Canis lupus familiaris: one gene and its partners. The protein of the gene in region 1 purifies or fractionates together with the protein of each later gene. This does not show direct contact. Links are inferred from orthologs where the notes say so. Each region holds a gene or a part of one and is shown on either strand. Other genes may lie near its edges.

Region 1 (6,358 bases):
ATGTTAATTATGTTTGAAAAGAAAAAAAATTCCAAGCACAAAATGTACCTATGCTACCAAATCAAAGTAGCATTTGAGAGATCCCTATACCACTTGAAAGATTTCTTGGTTACATATCTTCCTCCAGGAAGATGGGTCAAGTGTATATGATACAAACTAGGCAAAAGGTGAATAGCACTTGGGTCAGCTTGGTTTGTCAGAACATTTCAGTTATTTCACTCATGATGCTGCTCATGCTGAAAAACGTGTATCATGCCCAGCTCGTGGGGCTTCTTTAATGGAGATTCTGCTGATTAGTTCTGCATGAACTGACAAAGCAAATTCCTGAGCCTGCAGGAGAAAGGACCTACAGGAGCAAGTTAGATGCCAGACTAACCCACCTCCATTCAGGCACCAGCATTCCTTCAGATACCTCACCCGTGCAGCCAGCCGAGCCTCACCTGAGGACGACACCACTTCCTTTCAGGGAATGGATTTTTTAAAATTACCTTATATTTTGTTTTTGTTTGTTGTTTGTTTTTTAAGTAGGCTCAATGCCCAGAGTGGAGCCTAACACAAGGTTTGAACTCACGACCCTGGGATCAAGACATGAGCTGAGATTAAGAGTTGGACACTTAACTGACTGAGCCCCCCATGCACCTCCTGTTTTCTGATTATAAAATATCTTTTAGCTTCAGAATACATCTTGCCTACTGTTTCCAGATAAATTAAAATGTATTGCAGGGTTCTTAACCTGAGATTAATGCATACTTTTAATGAGATCTATGAGCAGATTATATACAATTATAGAACTACATCTATTTACATGCAATATTTCTGAAATTATATACATTTATGCAAATTTTTCTGAGGAAGGGTCTACTATTTTCATTAGATGTTCAAAGCGGGTCCATGATCCAAAAAGGTTAAGAACCACTGCTCTAACATTTTCTATACACAGTGAATATCAACAGTTAACACTGACGCACATAAGCACAGATGACTTTCAAATCTTTATCTACTGGAGTTTTCATTTAGCTTTACCACTCAACCTAGACACTGATGCCCATGAACAGAGTTTTCCTCTTACAACACTAAGGAGAATTTGTGAACACAGACCCCCACCTTTAGCAGCTTGGCTTTCATCGTGGAGGTGATGGTTGTGGGGTTGATGAACTGGAAGGAAGGGGCAGCGTTGTTGGGGTACTGCGCCGGGAACTTCACCAGCATCTTGACACGGTGGCTGCTGCAGTGCACAGACACCGTGCAGCTCCTGTCTGCCGCATCCATCTGCAGATGACAAAGGGACAACTGCTCGAGAGACGAACCATCAGGCATCTCTAGATACAAATGAATTTAGACAAGTTAGCTGCAAGCTCTAGGTTCCTGGGACCTGGGGAAAGGGAGACTCTCCAGAGACAAATGAATTTGGAAGATTTATAAAACTCATGTTCAAGACCGATCTTTAACTTTAGCACTGATTTAATAAGTTCAAAGTAATTTGACTTAAAAAAGCTTCATCCTAAAGCTGTGAGGTAGACTGAAACTTGTTATATTTAAGATGAGAAAATAAAGCATGAAGAATTGAAATACTGGATTCAATTGAAAAGTACTCCTAGAAAAATCCATGGAGACACCAAGTGGATTACTGGGTGCCAAGGGTGGGGATGGGGGGGCAATGGGATGTGACTGCAGATGGGTATAGGGTTTTTCAGAGACAATGAAAATGCTTTGGAATTAAGGACGATGGTGGCACAGCTTTGTGACTATACTATGAAATACCAAATTGTACACGTTAGAAGGGTAAATTTGATGATGTGTGAGTTATATCTCAATACTTTTGAAAAAGCACTCCTTGCAAAGCAATCAAGATCTCCCTCTTAAACTAGAATCACTAGGCTAACAACACTGTTCTCAACAAAGGGGGTGTGATCTAAATTGATACAGATAACCAATTAATCAAGGAATCCTTTCACTGTCTTGATTTCTCATGCTGCCAACCAGAAAAGGCTGCTGGAGTAGAGTGGGAAAAGGCACACATGTGGGAAGTCAAGAGACAGATTCAAATATCTCTTCCACGAAATAGCTGCTGACCTCAGACAAGTCATTACATCTCTTAGTGTCTGTTTCTCCTTCTGTAAAGTAGGGAGAAAAGCATGTATTGCAGAGCCTTCTAAAGGCCAAAGGAGGGACACTTGGGTGGCTCAGTCGATTAAGCACCCAACTCTTGATTTTGGCTCAGGTCATGATCTCAGAGTTGTGAGATCAACCCCTGCATTGGGCTCCACGCTAGGTGCGGAGTCTGCTTAGAATTCTCTCTCCCTCTGCCCTTCCCCACAACCCCTCAAAAAAAGGACAAAGGAGATAATTATGGACACACACGTATCCATGACTACTGTTAGTTGAATATAGGCCAAAAAGAAACAAACCAAGATTCAAAACTTCACAGACTCAATTCTCTGAAGGAAACCATTTCAAAACCACCCCAAAAGGAAGGGAGCAAACTTTCCATGTGTTAAATAAACAAAGAGGTTTGGTGACCTTCTTACTATGAATCTAAGTTATCAAGAAAGTGACCAGCTTTAAGGGAAGACAGCACAGCAGAGCCTACAGAACATTGGCAGGTCAGGTTTAGCTTCCAAACTCAGCTCTGCCATTAACTATACTAGTAACCTTTGACAAAACACTAAGCCTTTCTGGATCTGAGTAAATGCCACCCATGGTAAAATGAGGAACTGAGGCATCTGAGAGGATTTTAAGATACACGAGCATGAATTTATTCTTTGGTTCATCTTACGAGAAAATATTACGGTGAGGCTGTAATTTGCATTTATCAAACATCTCTTTCTCTAGAAAACCTCAAAAATAAAAAAAGCAAGCAGAGGGATTTACCAGTTAGAGCAACAAAGCTATTAGCTAACCGGAATCACAGCTGAAATCGGGCCCTTGCCCACCAAGCACCACCCGCCAGCATGAGAGAATCCCCTAAAGTAGTGAGCACCTCAACGTTGACATTCCGGATCTGCACATTGATCAAAGAGAACTCCTGCTGCAGAGTCTGAGGCAGCCCCAGCTGTTCCGACCTCTTCTCTTCCAGGATACTGCTTGGCGGGTCTTCCTTTAAGACTAGCAGGAGGGAGAGGTTCTTCAGTGGTTGGAAAACAGTTTTGAAAGTGAGCCCAAGAGCAGTTCTGGGGCATCTGCCGTAACTCTGAAATGCAGAGAGGGGCACCTCACCTGAAACACTAGTTTGGCCAATTACCTTCTTCCTCCCCATGGCTTGAGCTGTGCTGGTGATCCGTATCTTGAGTGTGAAGGGTCTTCTCTGGCTCCGGCAGAAGAGAAATGCTCTCAATGAACTCATCAACACCATCCAATATGTCGTTTGCACAAAGCTGTGACAAAGGGTAGAAGATCTAGCTCTACAAAAGTCAGTGGAAATGATCATCATGGCTAGTTAAGAGTTCAGACTTTAAAAAGTCTGATGACTTTAAAAAACCCCGATGCCTGGGGGGCTCGGTGGTTGAACATCTGCCTTTGGCTCAGGTCGAGGCCCGCATCAGGCTCCCTGCAGGTAGCTTACTTCTCCTTCCGCCTATGTCTTTGCCTCTCTCTCTGTGTCTCTCATGAATAAATAAACAAAGGCTAAAGATGTCAGCCAAAACCCGATATAATCAAAATAGGTGTCACCCACCACCAGACCTACCTGGTTAAATACCTAGGAGAATAGACTCTTTTAACTACCCTGGAAAAAAAAAAAAAAAAAAAAAACTACCCTGGAAATTTTTCATCCTGTTCACAGTTTAGGCAAGCCTCAGAAAACATTATTTTAAAAATTTCAAGCCTTTCTGGAGTTGGTCAGCTAGCCCAAAACCAAAAATGAACAAATGGTACCTTCTGGAAAAAATATATTTGAAAGGCAGTAGGTGATGATACTTAACCAAAATGCTCAGAGTGACTTTATACTAAGCAGCAAATTCTTTTTAAGATTGATTCATTCATTCATTGATTTTTAAGTAATCTCTACACCCAACATGGGGCTCAAATTTACAACCCTGAGATCAAGAGTTGGATGTTCTCTGAGGCCCCTGGGTGGCTCAGTCAGCTGAATGTCTGACTCTTGGTTTTGGTTCAGGTCACAGTCTCAGGATCATGGGACTGAGGCCTATGTTGAGCTCCACACTCAGCCACGAATCTGCTTGTACCTCTCCTTTCCCTTCTGCTCCTCCCCAGCACCCCCATCTCTCAAGTAAATAAATAAAATCTTTAAAAAAAGAAAGTTGCAGGCTCTCATTCTTAGGTTTTGGCATTAAAAAAAAAAAAAGAACTGCATGCTCCACCAACTGAGCCAGCAAGGCACCCTGCAAATTGCAAATTTTACCCAGTATCTTTTATTGACCTTATCCAAAGCATCATGGGGGAAGCAACATAAGTGAAGCATGGTTCCTGCCTTTAAGAAATGTAGCCAGTGAGTGAAAGAATCGTTCTGAGATGGAATATAGCAAGGGCAACAGCAGTTCACACCAGGTACAAACCATTATGGTTCATATAAGAAGCATTATCATTTATGGGGCAAACATTGGAAAGGTATTCATAGAATACCTTTTCATAGGTGCTGCTGATGGATGTAAAGGGCTCTGAACACTGCAGAGAGTAAGGTTAGACTTCCTAGTTCATTTAGAAGAAGAGAAAGAAATGAGGTCCACAGGCCATTTGCTCAGTGGGCTACCCAGACTCTCATACCAGGACAAGAGAAAAGGCAGTCAGAGGCTTTTCACGCTTAAAAGTACCAAATACTAAAGTTGGCTCTTGAAAACCTCAAAGCCTCAGTGTGGCCTACACATGCCACTCAGGCCACCAGCAACTATTATTAAATGTCTACCACATATCCTCTAACTGCCACAAATACTAAATCTTGTATTTTTTTTTTTAAGTTTCTAGTGTATCCAGTTACACTCCTCCACAACAGCACTGAATACATACCCTCTGCATCTGGGAATCCACCCGCCACATTCTCAGCGTCTGATCTCGTGACCATGTTACCAGTTGGTAGTCCTTGGACCCTAGAAATCACCAAATGAAAATCCTGGAATTTTTTTTTTTTTTAATTCAACATCAATTTTGCAACAGGTTGCACTGGAGTGAGATTCTTTCATTCATTCCTTCATCCATCCATTCAACAAATACTTACTGACCATCTCCTAGATGCCAGGCACTGCTCTAAGATACCTGGACAAGCATGAATATCACAGCCTCTGCCTTTATAGATCTCACAGCTCAGTGGTGGCAATTGACAAATGGATAAATACATAATAAAATGTCTGGTAGTGATAGTGTTATTAAAAAAAAAAAAAAACACCCAGGATAAGAGAACTGATGGCAGAGCTATTTTTAAACAGGACTCCCTGAGGAAGTCACATTTGAGCAGAAACTTAAATGAAGTGAAATAATAACTGGCAGCTCAGCAGGTGAAGAGGGATGCTGGGATTTAACGTCACATTGAACTTTCGCCTCCACAAATGTTCCTCCTTTTATATGCTCCAGAGGAGCTAAGCGTGAATATGATTTTGTGAAATGAATTGCTTTAAACGTATAATGAAACTTTACTGTTTAAAAGAATTTTTTGATGAAGAGATGTATCTCTTTGTAAAATGGATAATCAATCTCAAATGTTTTTAATTGCCTGAGTTGCATTTTCACATATTATTAGGTCTGGTCAGAGGGAGATTCTTCTAAAATCGTTTAGGAGCTTTATGAAAGATCAGGGCATTTTGGAGTAAATTAGATCATATCTAGAATCTCCTTTACAGCTATCCTTATAGAGCAAAGAATTTAGAAGAGTTTAGAATTGAATTTCATTTGATTCCTTCATTTTACAGATAGGAACATGGAGGCACCAGAGAACATGATTTGTCTGAGCTAAAAGGGGGGTGAGGGGCAAAAGGTCTTGCTCTATGTCATTGCCCTCCATTGGGCCCTCGCTCCTCAATGTTACTGCCTCACAGGACACAACTCTTCTGAACGACTGCCTGTCAGGAGTCCTCTCAACCCTCTGCAGACTCACATTCATGTCAGCAACTGTTTTCTGCCTCCACATCTGGCTTCTTTTCGTGTCCCTGAAGTTATTCCTAATTCCGTTCTAATCGCAAACTCTCTACCAGTGCCTTTGCCCCCATTCCCTCTCGCTCTCTCATAGGGCCCTTGTTTTCTCACATACCTCTTTCTTGCACCCTGTACTTGCCCTCAGAGAGAGAAGGTGGCAGCTCCAAGATCAACTTTGCTCCCTGCTTTTGAAGACAACTTCACTCACAAAACCAGATGCTGCTGCCTCTGGTCATGTTGCCTTACAATCTGGCTTCTATCCTCAATTTGTTTTTGG
Region 2 (6,358 bases), on another chromosome or scaffold:
TTAACTGACTGAGCCACCCAGGCATCCCAAAGAGGCATTTTTAGTGCCTACTTTATGAAGAAGGAAACAGGCACAAAGGAGTCAGATGACCTGACCAAGGAAGGAGAGCAAACTAGTGGAGCTGGGGTCAGGACCTTAGAGTCCTGCCTCTCTGGCCACAGTGAGGTCTGGGATTTCTCCCTCCATGGGGTATCTACCCTGAGCAAGGATCTGTCCACCCCCTCCACAGGCTGCCGCCCGCCATCAGTGTTCTTACTTGGTGGGTTCTCACATGGCTGAGTTTCTGCAGACGGGTGGTGACCCTGAGTGGCTACTTGGTCTCCATCGTGCCCCCGAGAAGCTACGCAAGCTCAGTGAGATCAACAAGTTGCTGGCACACCGGCCGTGGCTCATCACCAAGGAACATATCCAGGTGCCATGGGCAGAGAGGCAGTGGGAGCAAAGGGGCCGGGCTGGGGCATGTCAGGCAGTCAGCCTAGGGCCAGGCACTGAGCCAGTCTGGCCTTCTTTCCTCTCCAGGCCTTGCTGAAGACAGGCGAGCACAGCTGGTCTCTGGCAGAGCTCATCCAGGCACTGGTCCTGCTCACCCACTGCCATTCACTGGCCTCCTTTGTGTTTGGCTGTGGCATCCTCCCTGAGGGGGACTCAGAGGGCAGCCCTGCCCCCCAGGCACCTTCACCCCCCAGTGGGCAGAGTAGCCCACCCAGCAGGGACCCAATGAACAACTCTGGGGTAAGTCATGGGCCTGGGTCTTGTTGGGAGAAGAAGCTCGCATGGCCTCTGGTCCTTGCATGGAAGCCAGTGCTTCCCTATCTCACGCTGAGAGGCCTCAGAAAAGTTAATTGACTTTGAAACTTGGTTTCCTCATCTGTGAAATGAGGCTACAGACCCCTACTTCATAAGGGTTGTGAGGATCAAATGAAATAACCATGTGGTAGGCCCCTTGGCATGTAGCGTCTTAGGCATAAGGTCTCCTGAGTATTAGCACTTTAGAAAGTTTGCCTCTTACTCCATCAGATGGCCTTGTTTGTTTTAATATAAAATTACAGATACTTTAATAATCCCCTTTCCAGTGAGGGAGGTTGATGGTCAGAGAAGACATGCCTATTCCATAGCTTCTTAAACTTCACTTTTTTTTTGAAGATTTTTTTTATTTATTCATGAGAGACACATAGAGAGAGGCAGAGACACAAACAGAGGGAGAAGCAGGCTCCATGCAGGAAGCCCGATGTGGGACTTGATCCCAGGACTCCAGGATCACGCCCTGAGCCAAATACAGATGCTCAACTGCTGAGCCACCCAGGCATCAGTTTTTTTTTGTTGTTGTTGTTGTTTTTTTTTTTTTTTTTTAAGATTTTATTTTTTTATTAGGGAGAGCGAGAGAACAGGCACAGGCAGGGGGAGGGGCAGAGGGCAAGGGAAGAGCAGTCTCCCTGAGGAAGAGGGAGCCAGGATACGGCAGGGCTTGATCCCAGGACCTGAGAGCCATAGGCAGACACTTAACCGAGCCACCTAGATGCCCCTTGAAGTACAACACACTAGCTGCCCAGCCCACTGGCTGCCTCGGGAGGCAGTGCGCCCCTGTGGTCGCTCGGGGTGGCCTGGCTTATGGGAAGGATGTGTGGAGTTTCCTGGGGCTGAGGAGTAAGTGGTCACCATGGGGTCCCTCCTGCAGGGCTTTGAGGCTGCCCGAGACGTGGAAGCTTTGATGGAACGCATGAGGCAGCTCCAGGAGAGTCTGTTACGGGATGAAGGAGCATCCCAGGAGGAGATGGAGAGCCGCTTTGAGCTGGAGAAGTCGGAGAGCCTTCTGGTGACTCCCTCAGGTACAGCGTCACAGGAAGCCAGGTTCCAGGGGCTGCCCCCTTCTTACACCATCTCTGCTGGGGAGTAGGCAACTCCATGCATGGCCCCTCTTATATTTTGGAGGCAGCCACATCTCAATCACTTCTTCTAGGAGGTTCCGAGCATGGACTTTAGGGTCAGCCCCTCTGGCAATGTGACCCCTGAGAATTCACTTTCTGTCTCGGGGCCTCAGTCTCCTCCCACGTGAAGGATTGGTTTGTGGGGTAAATGGGACAATGGAAGCAAAACTCTTAGCACAGAGTAAGTGGCTCCATGAATAACTACTGTTGTCAGGATTGCTATGATTATTACTGGGGGCCTTATCCGCCGGGTCCATGGGCAGCCTCATCTACCCCCACCCATTATTGATTAATCAGGAGTAGATGCTCCTGTACTCCATGCCTTGGCCTCACTGTGACCTGTTTCTGACATCCTTAGCCGACATCCTGGAGCCTTCTCCACACCCAGACATGCTGTGCTTTGTGGAGGACCCCGCTTTCGGATATGAGGACTTTACCCGGCGAGGGTCTGAGGCGCCCCCCACCTTCCGTGCCCAGGTAGGTTCTCTAGGGTCTTGTTGGCATTGCACTGGGTTTACAAACAAGCAAGGGGTGGATGGCTTGAGTGGTTAGAAAGCCAGGCATCTTCTCCCTTGAGATTCTGTGAGGGAAATGGGAGACCCTAGATTGTGTCAGGACCTATCTGTGCCCTAAGCTCAGGGGATCCTGGTCACAGGGAGAAGGTCATCACCAAGGTGCATTCTCTTTGGCTTCTCCCAGACCAAGCAGCAGGCCCAGATCAGGCAGCAGGTTAGATCTGTGGGGCAGGAAAGAGACTATAAAGAGTGAAATTGTGCTCCAGAGGATGGGGTCCCTATGGCCAACCTTGGACCGCCAAGATTATACTCCCTGACCCCTTCCCACATTTTTCAGGATTATACCTGGGAAGACCATGGCTATTCACTGATCCAGCGGCTTTACCCTGAGGGTGGGCAGCTGCTGGATGAGAAGTTCCAGGCAGCCTATAGCCTTACCTACAACACCATTGCCATGCACAGTGGAGTAGACACCTCCATGCTCCGAAGGGCCATCTGGAATTACATCCACTGTGTCTTTGGGATCAGGTGAGCATAGAGCCCCTCATCCAGTGTGCATGTGTGCTACAAACCCTCAATCTCAGCTCACAGCTGTTTCCTTTTGTTCTTTGTTTATTTCTTTTCCCTTCTTCCTGCCTATAGTATTTTTCAAAGCAAATTCTTTTATTTGCTGATTATAAAAGATAATAGATGTGCTGTTTGAACCTTGTCAAGGAAACTCTTTAATCCCACCCTCTAGAGATAACTAAGGAGATACTTAGAAGAGTCGGGAGGGAGAGAGAGTGTGTGTTTCCATTCCAAGTAGGAGCTCTTCTCTTACAATAAATAAGGATAACATAAATGCACATCAGTAGGAGACTTTAAATAACGTTATATCCACTCAGTGAAAAAGTATACAGCTATTACAAGTTATAATAATGGTTTCTTTATATTGCTATGGGAAATTGTACAAAACGTATTGAGAAAAAAGAAAGCTGGTTACCAACCAGAATCTTCCTTTTGTTCCCCCCTTTTCTTTACTAAAAATGTGTGCATGCATGGAAAATGTGTGGAAGGCTACACACTAAAATGTTAATTAATAATGGTTGTCTCTGGATACTGTATGATTAATTAACATTTTCATCTTGTTATTTAAGTATTTTCTGATTTAAGTAGATTTTTTTTTAATTGATGGAATCATGCTTGATATATTCTACAACTTGCTTTTTTTTTTCACCTAGTCATCTATTGTGAACTGCCTTCCTTGTCAGTATGAATAGATCTTTTATGTTTTTTAACCACTGAATGGTGTTCCATTATGGATGTAGCTTAATTCAACCACGCCTCAATTATCGGATGTGTAGATAGTTTGCAGTTTTTCACTATTAAAAACACCATGTGCACTGGCTACCCTTATACCTAAGTCCTTATAGATGATCTCTAGATGTGAAATTACTTGTCAAGAATATACACAGACCATGGGGTGCCTGAGTGGGTCAGTCAGTTAAGCGTCTCCCTTTGCTCAGGTCGTGATCCCAGAGTCCTAGGATCGAGCCTGGCAGGTACCCTGTTCATGTGGTCTCTCTTACTCACTCTCTCTTCATCTCTCAAATAAGTAAATAAAATCTTAAGTCACTTAACTGTCTGAGCTGCCCAGGCACCCCTATTTTTAAAAAATTAATTTTTTAAAAAGATTGTGTTTATTTATTTTTGAGAGGGAGAAAGATAGCAAGTGTGTGAGCTGGGGGAGGACAAAGGGAGAGAGAGAGAATCTCCAGGCTGAGTGCAGAGCCCAAAGTGGGGCTTGATCTCATGACCCTGAGATCATGACCTGAGCCAAAACCAAGAGTCAGACCGACTGAGCCTCCCAGGTGCCCCCAGACCAATTTTTTTTTTTTTTTTTTTTTTTTAAGAAATCTCACTCCGATAACATTGTAAGAAATTCAAAGAATTAAGGGGGAAAAAACCATTTCCCAGATTCAGCTACTTAACAACCACATCCCCATCCTGTGACAGTCTTTCTCCGTTGCTTTTCTTCTTTCTAATGTAGTTGCTTTTCTGTAGTTGGAGTTATAACAGTTATTACATTTTTTAAATGTATATTTGATGTTTATAGAGAGAACTAGATTTACAGTAAATCTAGAAAACAGAAGTAACAAAAAGGAGAAAATAAAGATCATCCATCATCCCACCTGCTCTTATTATTGTCAAGTATTTCTCTCCTGGCTTTTTTCCACACGCCGATAACCAAAACACACATAATTTTACAAACACAAGATTTTCTCCCTACTCATTTCACTTATTTTACTCATTTAATCAAACGTGTTGTGGCTATTTTAATGAATATGTGATCTTGCTTTTTTCATTTAATGGTTTAGTCCAAGCATCTAAAAAAAAAAAAAAAAAAACCTATGTTTTTAGAAAGGTACATATTCCCTGTAGAAAATGTGTGTTTTTGTGCTACTGGCTGTAAATTATATTTCACTGGGTGGATTCATTTGTATTTAATTGGGCGTCTTCTTGCTAGTCATGGACAGTTTTCCAGCCCAGGGGAGGTGGAAGAGGGGCAAGCGTCTTAGAGTGTGGCACAGGCTGCTTCTGCCCAGCTCCCTGGTCCACGCTTCCCCATTCTCCAGCATGGTTCTTGCTCTCATGCCTCTGTCTACTGAATCTGTCCTCCAGTTTTCAGCCAATTTACCCCATCCAAACTGATCTGTGATGACTCACTGGCTCACTGGACTGGAGAGTGACAAAGTGGCTTCCAGACTTGTCACCAACTTGCTCTTTGACTTTGAACAAGTTAATTATCTGCTCCAGGCCTTAGTTTGGCCGTCTGTAAAACGAGTACCACTTCTTTTTCCCTTTCTCTTTGCCTTCTCCAGGGAAAGTAGTTGTACTAACCTCCTGCCCCTTCTTCCATGGCTTTTACTGTAATGAGTATGACCTTGGAGCTGGGCAGAGCTGGGTTTGAAATCCATTCCCAGGACAAGTGATTTCACCTCTCTCACTTTCCTTTTCAGTTATATAATGGGGCTGATGAATATGGTGTGTTTTTTTTTGTTTTTTGTTTTTTTTTTTAATTTTATTTATTTATTCATGAGAAACACAGAGAGAGAGAGAGAGAGAGGCAGGGACACAGGCAGAGGGAGAAGCAGGCTCCATGCAGGGAGCCCGATGTGGGACTTGATCCCGAGGCTCCAGGATCACACCCTGGGCTGCAGGCAGTGCTAAACCACTGCGCCACTGGGGCTGCCCTGGTGTTTTATATATAATAGTTCTGTAGACAGCTTCTGTAGTAGTTTTGAGGATTCCATGAGCACATATTCACACAGCACATGACTGGTACTCAATATGGCATGCTAATTGTCTGCAGTCTTTGGAGTGGTCCCCTACCAGTCTAGTGGCCTGCAACGTATGACATCAGCTATTTTTCTAAGAGGAACCAAGCTTCTACTTGCTTCCTACCTTCTGCTTTTTCTTGCCACACTCTGTTCCTCCTTCTATAGGGTGGGGGTAGGGGAGAGGAGTCACTTGGAGAGTGATGCTATCGAGGCCTTTCTATTCAGATATGATGACTATGACTACGGGGAGGTGAACCAGCTCTTGGAACGGAACCTCAAGGTCTATATCAAGACGGTGGCCTGCTACCCAGAGAAGACCACGCGAAGAATGTACAACCTCTTCTGGAGGCACTTCCGCCACTCAGAGAAGGTACAGGAGAGATTGGGGTCAGGACCCAATGTGCTTTCCCAGGCTGAGTCTTCCACCAGTTGGGACACCTGGGTGTAGCATCCTGGGTTCAAGTCCTGGTCCCACTGTGTGATTTCTGACTCCATTTACTCACCTATAAAATGGGAGTATGCTTCACAAGGTCCTCAGTGGCAGCCAGCCTGACATGATCACTCAGTAGCCTGGTGACCCTGGGCAAGTTGCTTTGCC
Region 3 (5,037 bases), on another chromosome or scaffold:
GCAACAAGCTTGGGACCATACAGCCTTGCCTGGCAGGGGTGGGGATGAGAACTTTGAACACTGAATTTCTGCTCAAATAACTTCAAGGAGGACTTACAAGGTCATTTCCACTGTTTGGGCAGGTAAAATCTGAGGGTGGAAACAAGCCACTGACTGACCCGTCTGAGCTTTCCTCATCTCCTGTCCCCACCCATCCAAGAATAACCCCTCTCCCGACCCCCAGGTGCACATCCTCCCAGCAGACGCCAGACACTGGGCTGGCAGTCTGAGGGCTGAGAGCACCTTCCTAGTCCCCAAGGGACTGTGGACAGGGCCTTCCTCAGGCACAGACTGCCATCTTTATGAGGATAGGCACACAGGCTCTGCAGTCTGGGGCCTTTATCCTAGCACTCAGGAATGGCTGTGCTGATGTAGACAAGTGAATGGGGGCACCCATGACTGGAAGGACAAGGATGTGGACTGTGCTCTAGTGAGCACCCCAACCTCAGTTATAAAGGACCCAAGCTGAGCCCAGGTCCAGGCCTGGGCTAACCAGACTGGCTTCCTTTGTTCTAGAACTCTCTAGGGACCCGGGTGGGTCAAAGAGGTGATTCTGTGAGCCCCTACCTCAACCTGGGACAGCTTAAAGCCTATCTGATGGCATCCAGAGCATCAGCCACATGTGAGGTCCAGGGTCATGTCCCCCTCTCAGGTGAGTGTGCCCCAGTCACCTCCCAAACCCTGGCTCACCCCAGGTGGGTCCTGGTATCCCTGGCAATCCCAGAGCAGATCTCTTCATTTATAACCTCTTGAAGGCCAAGCTGACCCAGTGACCCCCAAGGACCCTAATGCCCTGGGAATAAAACCCTCCACCAAGACCCACACACATGTGGCAAAGAGACACACATGGGCTCTAGGCCTGGCTCTAAGTCAGACTACCCAGGGGGGCCCCTTCCCCAGGCCAGTCCTGTGGGCAGTACAAGAACTAACTGCTGCCAGATTAGGACCTGGTTTGAAGGACTGGGCAAAGCCCTAATGTACCTGGAAAGCCATGATAATAGAAACATCTAAATCAGGCAGTGACTCACAAGCAGACAGATGGACAGACCCCTCCACCCCCCGTCCCCCAAAGATGAATGTGGGGCCCAGGAGCTCTCAGGTCAGGAGCCCCAAGGATTCTGGTTCTAAAGCCCCTACTCAGCCCGAACATCCTCTGACCCAGGGTCCAGGCTGTGCCCTCCAGAGGGAGGCCAGAACTCCTCACTCCACCCCCTGACATCAAAATACAAAGCAATGCCCCTTTCCAGTGTCAAAAAGTAGAGGGGTCCTAAAAAAGCTGCCTCCTAGATCTTGATACATGTGAAGAAATGGAGTCTGAAGGGAAGGGGCAGGCCAAGTGTCCCCGACCACTCACTCACCGGGCTGGGCTGTGCGTTCTGCTCCTGTGATCTGCAGCCCCTTGGGTTCCCAGGGGCAGGGCGGGCACACTGCCAGAAGCCTGGCCCCCTTTCTGCCTTTTCTGGGGAGACACTGTGACCTCTAAATACGCCGAAGTCACACCCTTCTTCCTTTCCTGAATGTGGGTGGGTCTGGGCTGAGGGTACCTGATAACCTCCCCAGCACATCTCTAGGGTCCCATCTGGCCCACAGTGGAAGCCCGGTATCATGGAGCAATGAAGCAGCCCCTCTGTGACAGGAGACCCAGGCCCACATGTGCTAAGTCTCTGGACCAGGAAGGCAGCCTCTGAAGGCAGAGTGGGTTCCAGGTGGCCTCCAGGCCCCTGTCCTGGCCAGGGGAAGCCCAGTGCCTGGACTCTCAGGTCTCCACTCTGGCTGGCCCCCTCTTCCTACTACTCCAGGAGAGCCGTGGTGACAAGAACTAACTGATCTCTTGGCCAACAGGGACTCCTGTGAGGGACCTCCAGGACTCAGGCATTGTCCAAAAGCAGGCAGGCAGCAGCCTGGAAGAAGTGTGCTTTGGAGCCCTCCTTGAGGGGTTTCACAACAGGCCAGTCACACCCAAGGTGGCAGGAAAGGCTGGGAAGCGGGGAGGATCTATCTCTAGGTGAGAGGGTCTCAGAGTCTCTAACCATGTTCAGAACTTTCTGGGCTATTCCAGAAGCAGCAAGGAAGGAAGGAAGAGGATGGGCTTCAGAGGCAGGTAGCCCTGCATGGGAATAAGTCACTTCACTTCTCAAAGGTTCAGTTCTCCCTGAGGTGAGAATTGAGTTAGGTGAGCCCAGCCAGAGTCAGGTACATAGGGACAGACCCAGACTTCAGGTAGAGGGGCTGGGAGCAGCAGCAGAGCAGCCCTGTCTGAGCTCAGACAACCCCTATAGACCACAGCCCAACCCTTTAGAACTACAAGCCCTTTATTAACAAGTCAATAAAAAAGGGAGAAAGATGTAAAAATACTTTTCTTGGAGGCCCCCTGAGGGGCAGGCACTGTCAGAACTCACCTGGCCAGGGAAGGCAACCCAGCCAGAGGCAGAACGGAGATAAGGACCCTGTCCAGGGAGTGGCTGGCCCAGGGTGCTGAGAGGGGATGGCTCGGGCCTCAGGCAGGGAATGTGCAAACACTGAGGCCGCGCAGGGAGTGATGGGGTGAGGGGTTCCCGGAGGAAAGCCCAGAGCACCGTGTTCCCCTGCGTGGGCAGACACGCATGTCCACGTGAGAGCCGGTGCCTGCACGCAGCTTATATACAGAGAGCAGAAGGAGGGGGTCCCCCGGCAGGAATGGGGGTGGGGAAGGCTCATCCCAGAGCTCGAGGAAATAGCTTAGAGAAGTCTCTGGAAGCCTGGGGTGAAGGGAGAGTGTGGAGGCCTCAGGAGCTCTGGCCATCCTGCCGTCGCTGAAGGACCTCAATGACACTGTTGATGCCATCCTCAGGCACCTGTGGGCAGGTGGGTGGAGGGAGGGATCAGGGCCATGTCAACTTCCTGGACTACATTCTGCACCCTCCCCCTCCCACCCTCCGGGGCCTCATTGTCCTTCCAGGAGCCCACCCCACGGTGCTTACCAAGGCATGGTCAAAGTTGAAGGTGCTAATGTAATAGGCAGAGATGTCGGCTGCAGCCAGGGGGCCTGCAATCTGGGCCACGATCCCACACTCATCTGAGGGTTGGGGCAGGGGGAAGGAGTCCATGTACATCATCCTGGTCACCCCCTTCGCAGATCTTCCCCAAGTCCCCAACACACAAGAAGCAGCCCTTACCAAAGCCCAAGGGCTGTCCACCAATGCGCACCATCCTCCACAGCTCTCCTGAGGAGCTGGTTAGCAGGAGGTCACTGGGGAATCTGGAAAGGCAGGTGGGTAGTGGGCAGGGCACCCACGCATCCCCTCCCTGCCCCAATGTGAGCCCCTGGAAGCAGGCTGACCTAGTGACCTCAGAGTCTGATGCTCCATTTCCTCCCTCCCTAGGGCTGGCCTTGGGATCTGTGGTCCCTGGGGCTCAGGAGTCACATACTTTTTCTGCGTCTCAGCGTCCATGACGATGGAGATGTAGCCCTCAATGAGGGAGAAGGCAAAGAATGTAATGGAGCTGGGTCCAGTACCACCAGAGGCTGCCTCCTTGGGGGCACTAGAAAAGAACAGGAGGCTCAAGTGCTCTTCGGGGTACCCAGCCCACTGCATCTCCTCCCATCTCTGGGCCACTTTCCTCCCCTGTCTGAGGGCCCTGATACCCTGATGGGGATTGGACAGGGGTGGGAGGGGACGATGAATCTCGCTTGTTTCAAAGATGCTGGACCCCAGGACTGATAGAGGGTCCAACCTAAGGCCTGGGTCAGGGGTGTCTCAGCTTACACTACAGGAAAGGGTTGCAGCTGTGGCATTGGGATCTTCCCTGAACATCAGTGAGGGGCACATGGGTATCACAGGCTGCCAGGAACCCAAGATACAGAACAGGGCACGAGTTACAGAACAAGCAGAAGGTGGTAGGCATAGGGAGCAACGGCATGAGAACACAGCTCACCTGTAGGAGTAGAAGAGGACATCGATGAGCGTGGTAGCGATGGCTGGCAGTGTCTCAGGGTCCAATGTGAGGACACAGAAGCGGTTCTGTGGGCTCTGGATGGGATGCACCGTGGGACTGGGCCCTGGGAGGAGGGACCAGGCAGAGAACTACTGTTAGGGCGACTGTGGGCTGGGGCGCCCCCTGGTGGCCAGATAGGGAGGGGCCTGGGTGGAGGCTAGGGTCCTGCTCTACAGGAACCCTCTTCTCCACCACATCTCCCTATCTTGTGAGGCAGTCTGTGTCAGCCGGTATCCCCACGTCCACAGACCAGCTCTCATAAGGGAAGGGCCCCCGTGGAAAGAGGAGGCCCTGCCTAGGTCTGGGTGTGAGGGTAGCCTCACCATGCTGCGAACGGGGAAAGCCATTGCTGGAATCATCCCTGGCAACAGGCACAGGCTCCCCGCCCACTTCCCGGTAAATGTCGAACTCCTGGGATAGCGTGTGGATCACCACGGACAGGTCCTGTTCCCGCACCTGGACCACAAGAGGAGGATGTAACACGAGTCCCCAGGCACCCATGCCCACCCTGCCCCGGAGCCTGCAGAAAACTCACCAGGATGAAGTCCGTTTGGTAAGTGGACAGCATCAGGACAGACACATGGTGCTCTGCCAGTGGTGCAATGACCGAGCGGGCAATTTTGGTGACTCCGGCAGCCTGCACGGTTGCACCACTGTGAGATGACACGTTCAGCACCAGCCATGTGGCCTCAGCCACTTGAAGGAACTCAGATGGGGGTAGCTCTGTGAGCAGGAAGTATATACCAGGTCAGGGCCTACTGGGCTGGCCCCTGCCCCTTGGCTTCCCTGTCTGTCCAGGAATTGGGGGTGGGGGGGTTCTACGAAGGTAATGGCAGGTCTGGAGACTGGGGCTGTCTCCCTCTCCCAAGTTCTGCTCCTGAGCTGCATGTATGCAAGAACTGAGAAGTGCTTCAGGTGCTGGCCTGCTAGGGATGGAAACTTCCCAGTTAAGACTGGAGCTCCAGAGTCAGACAGACCTGGGTTCAAATCCCGGCTTCACCATTTACTTGCTGTTGACCCGAG

What was found.
Region 2: the proteins of WDR59 (region 1) and SESN2 purify together in Homo sapiens (affinity purification with western blotting; 4 studies listed by BioGRID and IntAct, with this or other methods). This does not show direct contact. The link is inferred for Canis lupus familiaris from reciprocal best matches to the Homo sapiens genes WDR59 and SESN2.
Region 3: the proteins of WDR59 (region 1) and CASTOR1 purify together in Homo sapiens (affinity purification with mass spectrometry; 3 studies listed by BioGRID and IntAct, counting the BioPlex papers as one, with this or other methods). This does not show direct contact. The link is inferred for Canis lupus familiaris from reciprocal best matches to the Homo sapiens genes WDR59 and CASTOR1.

Annotation. Positions count from the first base shown.
Region 1 is NC_049226.1:76,335,809-76,342,166, reverse strand, and holds part of WDR59 (GATOR complex protein WDR59), read right to left. Parts: intron 5,043-6,358; coding exon 4,963-5,042; intron 3,375-4,962; coding exon 3,242-3,374; intron 3,106-3,241; coding exon 2,981-3,105; intron 1,270-2,980; coding exon 1,105-1,269; intron 441-1,104; coding exon of another isoform or gene 414-440; exon of another isoform or gene 381-413; intron 1-380. UniProt on the Homo sapiens protein: As a component of the GATOR2 complex, functions as an activator of the amino acid-sensing branch of the mTORC1 signaling pathway. The GATOR2 complex indirectly activates mTORC1 through the inhibition of the GATOR1 subcomplex.
Region 2 is NC_049223.1:71,548,096-71,554,453, reverse strand, and holds part of SESN2 (sestrin-2), read left to right. Parts: intron 1-229; coding exon 230-412; intron 413-519; coding exon 520-732; intron 733-1,675; coding exon 1,676-1,826; intron 1,827-2,283; coding exon 2,284-2,402; intron 2,403-2,777; coding exon 2,778-2,968; intron 2,969-5,985; coding exon 5,986-6,130; intron 6,131-6,358. UniProt on the Homo sapiens protein: Functions as an intracellular leucine sensor that negatively regulates the mTORC1 signaling pathway through the GATOR complex. In absence of leucine, binds the GATOR subcomplex GATOR2 and prevents mTORC1 signaling.
Region 3 is NC_049247.1:23,845,977-23,851,013, forward strand, and holds the end of CASTOR1 (cytosolic arginine sensor for mTORC1 subunit 1), read right to left. Parts: intron 4,738-5,037; coding exon 4,550-4,737; intron 4,471-4,549; coding exon 4,338-4,470; intron 4,079-4,337; coding exon 3,955-4,078; intron 3,562-3,954; coding exon 3,448-3,561; intron 3,278-3,447; coding exon 3,195-3,277; intron 3,095-3,194; coding exon 3,000-3,094; intron 2,874-2,999; coding exon 2,805-2,873; 3' UTR 2,334-2,804; downstream 1-2,333. UniProt on the Homo sapiens protein: Functions as an intracellular arginine sensor within the amino acid-sensing branch of the TORC1 signaling pathway. As a homodimer or a heterodimer with CASTOR2, binds and inhibits the GATOR subcomplex GATOR2 and thereby mTORC1.